Sus scrofa: one gene and its partner. The protein of the gene in region 1 binds, or shares a complex with, the protein of each later gene. Links are inferred from orthologs where the notes say so. Each region holds a gene or a part of one and is shown in the gene's direction. Other genes may lie near its edges.

Region 1 (3,811 bases):
AAGTTCCTGTCAGGAAAACGCAAAGCTGAAGTTACCCACCAAGGACTTCTAACAAATTTTAGCTTGTCTCGTGGGTGACCACCCACTTCCCTTTCAGTGGAAAAGGGTGACTTCTTATTGCAGACCAATCACTCCACTACAGGAAATGCCTTAGAACATAGTGTTGAATCACAGCTATCCAGCTGCAAAGTATAGCTTTTTAAATATTCTTACCTTAGCATGGTTTGGAAAAGATGAGATAATTATGAGTAAAGTCAATGCACCATTTTTAACCTGTTCCAAAACAGGCATTGACAGAACGTCTGGATGCTATTCTTCTGGAAAAAGCAGAGACTGAGCAACAGTGTGTTTCTCTGAAGAAGGAAAATATTAAAATGAAGCAAGAGGTTGAGGTAAGGAAAGATTTTAATTTTTTTGTTTTTTATTTCGTAGTATAATCATGAGTTTTGGAGCCAAGACTTTAAAAGGCATCTATCTGATTTTAACTGTTTACAAACAAGGAAACCGATTGATATTTAAAAAAAAAAAATAGCTGAAATAGCTCAACTACACAGAGATAGAGCTGACATTTACTTGTTCGTTGTTTAATCTCCTTTCTAGCTATAATATTCTTTAATAAAAATGGGGGAAAATACCTATTTTATGAAAAAGTACCTATTTAAATAAGTTGATTCTCACACATACTCTAAATGCTGGTATCTGTTCAGTTGCTTCTTGGGTCTGGGTTGATTTTTCTCCCAAAAGCTTTATTAATCATTCAGGAGATATTTGTTAAAGCCTTATGATTTAATACAGCTTACATAATTTATTGCCATTTAAAAGAAAATGAAATTCAGAGATTTCCTAGCTTTTAGTTACTGCTTTGAGTAACATACTTAGTAATACCAATTATATTATCATACTTAAGGTAGTCAGAGCCTAAGCAGAATTCTTGGAATCTCAGTGTCATATTTCTCTATGTACATTTCTGGTTATTTCCTTTTTTATGAACCTGCATCGTATATTTTCCCTGAGTGGTGTCTTTCTCTCAAGTAATTTTTGTGTGTTTATTTTTATAGGATTCTGTAACTAAGTTGGAAGATATGCACAAGGAGTTTGAACAATCACAAAGAAACTATATGAAGGAAATGGAAAATTTGAAAAATGAATTAATGGCAGTACATTCCAAACATAGTAACGATAAAGCTGGTTGGCAAAAGGAACTGGAAGAAGCAGCCAAAAAACAATTAGAGCTTTCAAAACAACTTAAATTTCACAATGATTCTGAAGAAATTGTTAAAAAACTGCAAGAAGAGATTCAGAAAATCAAGCCAGCCTTTGAGGAGCAAATTTTATATCTACAACAGCAGTTAGAAGCTGCCACAAATGAAAAGGAGCAAGAAATCACTCATCTCCAAGGAGTCATTGAGGCTAATTCTCAGCAGTACCAAAAAGATATTAATAGTTTGCAAGAAGAACTTTTACGGTTGAAATCTACACACCAAGAAGAGGTGAAAGAATTGATGTGCCAGATTGAAGCATCTGCTATAGAACATGAAGCAGAAGTAAATAATTTAAATCAGCTAAAGGAGAATTTAGTCAGGCAATGTGAGGGAGAGGAGAAGAACATTCAGCAGAAATATGAATGTGAATTAGAAAACCTAGGGAAAACCTCAAATGCAAACCAGGAAAATCAGATGTGTTCTTTGCTCTTAAAAGAAAATACTCTTGTAGAACAAGGAGAAAATGAAAAAGTGAAACACTTAGAAGATGCCTTAAAAGAATTGGAGTCTCAACATACTATCTTAAAAGATGAGTTAACTTACATGAATAATCTTAAATTAAAACTTGAAATTGATGCTCAACACATAAAGGATGAATTTTTTCATGAACGGGAAGATTTAGAATTTAAAATTAATGAATTATTACTAGCTAAAGAAGAACAGGGATGTGTAATCGAAAAATTAAAATGTGAACTAGAAGATTCAGATAAACAGTTTCGCTGTATCGTAGAACAACATAACAAAGAAGTAAAAAGTCTAAAGGAACAACATCAAAAAGAAATATCAGAACTAAATGAGGCATTTTTGTCAGGTTCAGAAAAAGAAAAATTAACATTAATGTTTGAAATACAAGGTCTTAAGGAACAGTGTGAAAATCTACAACAAGAAAAGCAAGAAGCAATTTTAAATTATGAGAGTTTACGGGAGATTATGGAAATTTTACAGACAGAATTGGGGGAATCTGCTGGAAAAATAAGTCAAGAGTTTGAATCAATGAAGCAGCAGCAAGCATCTGATGTTAATGAACTTCAGCAGAAGCTAAGAACTGCATTTAATGAAAAAGATGCTCTTCTTGAAACTGTGAATCGCCTCCAGACAGAAAATGAAAAGTTATTATCACAGCAAGAATTTGTACCAGAACTTGAAAATACCATAAAGACCCTTCAAGAAAAGAATGAAGAATATTTAGTTAGTCTCAGTCAGAGAGATACCATGGCACAAGAATTGGAAGCAAAGATAAGTCATCTTATTGAGGAAAAAGATGATCTCATAAGTAAAATGAAGAGTTCTCATGAAGAGATGAATGATCTCCATAAAAAATGTGAAAGGGAAAATAAACTGATTGTAGAACTTAGGGAAAAAGTAGAGCAGACCACCCGGTACAACAGTGAACTAGAACAAAAAGTAAATGAATTAACAGCAGGACTAGAGGAAACTTTAAAAGAAAAGGATCAAAATAACCAACAACTAGAAAAGCTTCTGGCTCAGTTGCAGACCCTGTCTGGAGAGCAGGAAGCAATGTCATCTGAAGCACAGTCTCTTTACGAGGAAAACAGTAGGCTGACCTCAGAAAAGGACCAGTTGAGCAGGGATTTAGAAGCTCTTCTGTCACAAAAAGAAGGAGAGTTTTTGCTTAAGGAACAGCTTTCTGAATTAGAAAAGAAACTTCAGTTAGCACTTGAAGAAAGAGATCATTTAAATAAACTGTTTGACAGTGAACAGGATCAGAAGTTACTTGTCAAAACCCAATTGTGTAATTTTCTTAAACAAATGGAGTCAAAAGTTTCAGAAGAAAGTGAAGATCAAGATATTGTAAATGTCCTGCAAGCTGTAAGTGAATCCTTAGCTAAAATAAATGAAGAAAAACACAGCTTGTTTTTTCAGTACAATGCAAGGGTAGCAGAGTTAGAAAAAGAGATTAAGTTCCTTCAAGAAGAGAATGAAATCCAGTGTGAGAAACTTAGGTCTTCACTGAGAGATCATGAGCAAGAGAAAGTTACCTTGAGGAAAGAGTTAGAAGAAACCCTCTCAAAAAAAGAGGCCCTAGAGCATGATCTTCTAGAAATGAAGAATGCTAATGAACAAACAAGGCTTGAAAATCAGAATCTCTTAATTCAAGTGGAAGAAGTCTCTCAAAAATTATGTAGCAGAAATGAAAACCATAATGAAAAAGAAAAATCTTTTATAAAGGAACTTGAACACCTAAAGCCATTGCTAGAAGAAAAAGAATCTGAATTACAAGACTTGAGAGCAGAGTTGGTATCATTAAAGGTACTATTAATTTGAATTTTATTGATTTAAATTATTCTAGTCATAGACTCTAGAAAATGTATATATCACTATTTTTACACTTTGATTTCAGAAGTAAATTTTAAGCATTTCAGCTCAAGTGCAAATTTTTGAAAAATATTAAACGTGTTCACATCACACTTTATCACATTGATCATTTTGATTTTAGAATCTTGATTTTACATAAGGTTAAATGATTGGGGGGGGTTAAATATCTTGGTCAGAATTATATAGCTAGTCACCAGCAAAACTACAACTAA
Region 2 (4,392 bases), on another chromosome or scaffold:
GTCTTTGTGGGCTCCTCTTGAGTGTGACATTAACCTTCATTCTTGGGGTCATGAACTGGGTTGAAAAATCTGATGAAAAGTATGGATTCTGTCCACAGAAAAATACACATATTGTAGACGTGTAATTTAAGGTAGTTCCACCAATAGCAGATTCAAAAGGGATTTGAATCCTTTAGGAGGACTGGGTGATCTTTAAAATGTCCACTTCAGGAGGGAGTTCTCACTGTGGCTCAACAGTAACAAACCTGACTAGTACCCATGAGGACTTGGGTTCAATCCCTGGCCTCACTCAGTGGGGTAAGTATCTGACGTTGGCATGAGCTGTGGTGTAGGCTGCAGACTCAACTTGGATCCCGTGTTGCTGTGGCTGTGGCGCAGGCCAGCTGCTGTAGCTCTTGATTTGATCCTTAGCCTGGTAACCTCCACATGCCACGGGTATGGCGCTAAAAAGCCAAAAAAAACAAAAACAAAAACAAAAAACAAAAAAAACCCCAATAAATAAATACAATATCTACTTCAGGAATTCCTGCTGTGACTTAGTGGGTTAAGTACCCTGCCTTGCCTCTGTGAGGATTCGGGTTTGATCTCTGGCCTTGCTCAATGGGTTACGGATCCTACAAAGTGGAAACCTCCAGGGTAGATCTCAGAAGCAACTAGGATCTGGTGTGGCTGAAGCTGTGGCATGGGCCTGAATTTACAGCTCCAATTCGACCCCTAGCCCAGGAACTTCCATACGCCACAGGTGTGGCTGTTAAAAAAAAAAAAAGCCCACTTCATCAGGGGCATGCTCTACCACGAATTTGTTGTGTGACCTTTTTGCAAACTTGTTTTCCTACCTGAGCCTCAGTTTTACCCTATGTTTACATGATATCTAAATCCTTTTCGATCACAGTAGAAGGTGGGCTCACCTGGGCTGGCCCATCTGAGGAAGAGAGGTTGCTAACAGAAGGCCAAGCCACATCAGGCCAAGGATGGTCTTATCAACTAGCAGGTTGCAGAAGTTCAATGGGGGAAAAAGACAAAACCTGGCTTCAATTTTACTGTTCTGTGGGTTTTGTAAGTCATTTCCTTCCTACGAGCTTCAGTTTCCTCATCTGTAAAAACGTGGAGGCCCTGCTTCTGGTAGTTATGAAACTCCTGGGAGCAGGAGTGGAGAATGTACCTAGGAGGGTATCATGGCAGGAATTATAAGAAGAGGTTGGAGAAGGTGGGGGCATAGGTGAAGTGGGGCTCGCAGGAATCTGAGGCAGGGCTAAAGGCTCAGAACTAGGAACCTTCTAAACACCTTAGTACTCTCTGACTTCATCCGCTCTTGTAGGGGTCAATTCCACCTCCACGCCGGCCCCGCCTCCACCCCGCTTCTCTCTGTTCTCCTCCCCTCAGGCTCGGACGCGCCACACTACACATGGCCGCCACTGTGAGACACTTTCCACCGCTCGAGGGCAGCGAGCGCGCTCTCGCGCCGCCACCTCATTCCCATCCTTGCCCGCCCTTGACCTCTTCCGATTGGCTCATCGTATAAGTGACGAAAGCGCTCCTTACTCCACCCTTTGGGTTCCTCCAGGCTCCACCCCACCTCCCCGCTTCTCCCGACGCGAGCGTACACCTAACCACCCCCGGTCTCCGCTGCCGCGGAGCCGGGAAAGCAGGCTAAACCAGGAAGACGCCGTCTGTGGCGCGCACGCGCACGCACGCACGCACGCACGCTGGGGCTGGCGGGGCGGCAGGCTCGTGCCCGGGCTCGCCCCGCGCCGCGCCACAGGCTCGCGCACTCAGCAGGTTGGGCTGCGGCGGCGGCAGCTGAGGCGCTGAAGCGCTGCGTGTGAGAGGTCCCAGGCGCGTCTGCGGCTCCGGCTCCTCCGCCCTCACCCCAGCCTCCGAGCCGGGTGCTGAGAAGGGAGCCGCTCTGGCCTTCGGACCCCTGAGCACTCCCCTGGCTGCTTCCGACACCGCCTTCGTTCCCTTCCCAGCCTCGGGCCTCGCTCGGTGCTAGGCGGCTCTGAGGGGAGGCGGCGGCGACGGCTGCCTGTCTGTGTCGAGGGGCCCTGCCCTCCGGTCTTGCTCCGCTCCGGGCCCTGCAGCGGCCGAGAGAGCTGGGCGCCCGCCCATTCTCTAGCCTCTCCGTCCACTGCTTGGAGCCGCGTCGGTCCGGGAGGTCTTTGGGCTGAGGCGGCGCAGCTCCTCCGGCTCCATCATGTCCGCGGGCGGAGACTTCGGGAATCCGCTGAGGAAATTCAAGCTGGTGTTCCTGGGGGAGCAGAGCGGTGAGTGCGCGGCTCCCCCACTCCTGGCAGCTGGCCGCGGCTTCCCCGCACCGCCCCCAGTGCGGCCCTTCGGCCGCGGAGGCTGCTGCGGCCCTCGCGTTCGCCCTCCGCCCCCTGCCCCGGCCCCGCGTCGGCCGCCCCCTCGTCGCCCCCCGTGCTTCCTCGCCGCGATCCGTCGGGCGGATTTTGCCCCTTCTGGCCCCGACTCCGCCGGCTCCTCTCCCCGCAGCCCGGCCCTCCCCTGTCGACGTGCCCTCCCCAGTCCTCACCCCGCCCAGCCTCCTGTCCATCCCTTTCTTCCTCCGGTCTCCGTCGTCTCGCCAGCTCCCGCTCCCTTCCTTGAGCCCCACCCTTGTTCCTCGCTCTGATCCCGGTCGGTCAGCCCTGCGAGGCCCACCGGCGGGACCCGGCTCTTTGGAACCTCGCGCCGGGAGGGGGGATCTGGGCGTTGTTTTCCCCAGAGGCTTGGCCCTGAGAAGTGCAGATCTTCTGGAAGGTGGAAAGTGGGGAGTCCTAGAAAATTCTTGGATTGTTTTCACCTGGGTGGGGGGTTGGCCTGGGTTCCAGAGGGTCCACGTCGGCCTTGGAGGCGACTTGAGGATGGAGTGGTGGGGGAGTGAGGGAGGGGCGGCGGCAGTGGCGATTTTTACCCGATGGGCTAGGCTGCGGCTTGTTGGAAAACCTCGTTTTCTTCTCCTGACTTTCATCCTTGACGATCCTTTTGGCCGCGTGGATGCTTTTCCAGTCTCTGCCAGGTGCTATGTCATGATCGTTTTACTTGGAATTTTTCACATCTCACCTCTCCTTTTTCTGTTTTAACACGAAGCGGGGTCTGATTCTCCTCACAGTGGAGCAAACAGGAATTACTGGGGAAATGCTAATTATTCCATTTCTTTTTGAGTATTTTCCAATGATAGATTGAGGATTCCTGTGAGAGAAGGCTTTAGGATAACGAACATCTTTGTTTTGTAGGATTTCCTTTGGGGTCAGGGAGTAAGAGAGAGAGAAGAGATGGGTTTTTCATCTGGTTATCTAAGTTAGATAAATACATGATACCATTTTGGCGAAATGCTTCTTTTATGGTTAATATTCCACTGTATCTGATGAGTAAAATCATTTGTTTACCTGACCATGCTTCTGCCGTCATTGTACTTTGTGTTAGATAAAGGTCCTTACTTTGTGTTAGATAAAGGTCCTTATTTTGTGATGGCTGCTGTCTCTAAAATTACTTCTTGTGGTAATTCCAATTTTATGCTGTGTTATACACACTTCATACTCTGCAGTTTAGAGGTGATCACCCTTCATTGTTTTTCTCTCACTTTTCCTGGCTGTCTTTAAAATTGAGACAGTGAGAGATTAGTTCTTACGAAGTCATTAGACATTGTTATCTGTTAGGTGTTTTAGGTTAGGCTATAGAAGACATTTATTTCTTTTGATTGGGAAGAAGATAACTGATGTTAATTCAAGGCTTTTGTTACTACTTTGAACTATTTACACTAATTTGTGTGACATTAAAGTAGGTTAATAATAGTTGCAAAATTGCTTCCAATTAGACCTGAGAAATCATTTTTCTCCTTTCATACATAATTTTTTTCTCCTTGTTGTCTTACCAAGTTTCCTCTTTGTTTATTTTTTCTGAATTTGTTTCTTTAAGTAACTTGAGACCTGTGAGGTTGATCCTTGTCCAGGTATTATAACAATTTTAGGGCAGTGCCATTCATAAAATATAGCTATTGGTCATTATTGATAGGATAAGTGCTTATTGTGCACTCTAGGGATGTTTTTGCCTGCCTGATGTTGTGATGCAGAGATATTTAGTTTGCATGAAAAATCTCCATCCTAGGAAAATTTTAGTATGAATAGTCATAACTTAAGTATCTGCAGGTTTCCTTTGAATTTCTTGGGTATTTACTTCTAATTCTCATTGCAGAGTTTTATAGCTTCTCATTTCTTAACTTCTTTAAGTCTTTACTAAATCCCCTTCCTGCCAATTCCTGAAGCCATCTTAGATTTTTTTAAAAGTAAACTCAATTTTGTTAGAACAGTTTTAGATTTACATAAAAATTAAGATAATGCAGAGAGTTCACATAGAGTCCCACCCAATTTCCCTTATTATTAACATCTTTCA

Evidence for each region.
Region 2: the proteins of GCC2 (region 1) and RAB6A are in contact, whole or in part, in a crystal structure (PDB 3BBP), measured with the Homo sapiens proteins. The link is inferred for Sus scrofa from reciprocal best matches to the Homo sapiens genes GCC2 and RAB6A. Residues at the interface, in NP_852118.2 of Homo sapiens: Thr1585, Ile1588, Leu1589, Glu1591, Gln1592, Leu1595, Leu1596, Glu1599, Arg1602; in NP_942599.1 of Homo sapiens: Lys15, Ile46, Gly47, Ile48, Trp67, Arg74, Phe75, Ser77, Leu78, Ser81, Tyr82, Asp85.

The regions. Positions count from the first base shown.
Region 1 is NC_010445.4:47,748,820-47,752,630, reverse strand, and holds part of GCC2 (GRIP and coiled-coil domain-containing protein 2), read left to right. Parts: intron 1-287; coding exon 288-392; intron 393-1,058; coding exon 1,059-3,533; intron 3,534-3,811. UniProt on the Homo sapiens protein: Golgin which probably tethers transport vesicles to the trans-Golgi network (TGN) and regulates vesicular transport between the endosomes and the Golgi.
Region 2 is NC_010451.4:8,196,391-8,200,782, reverse strand, and holds the start of RAB6A (ras-related protein Rab-6A), read left to right. Parts: upstream 1-1,570; 5' UTR 1,571-2,194; coding exon 2,195-2,264; intron 2,265-2,560; exon of another isoform or gene 2,561-2,997; coding exon of another isoform or gene 2,998-3,019; intron 3,020-4,392. UniProt on the Homo sapiens protein: The small GTPases Rab are key regulators of intracellular membrane trafficking, from the formation of transport vesicles to their fusion with membranes.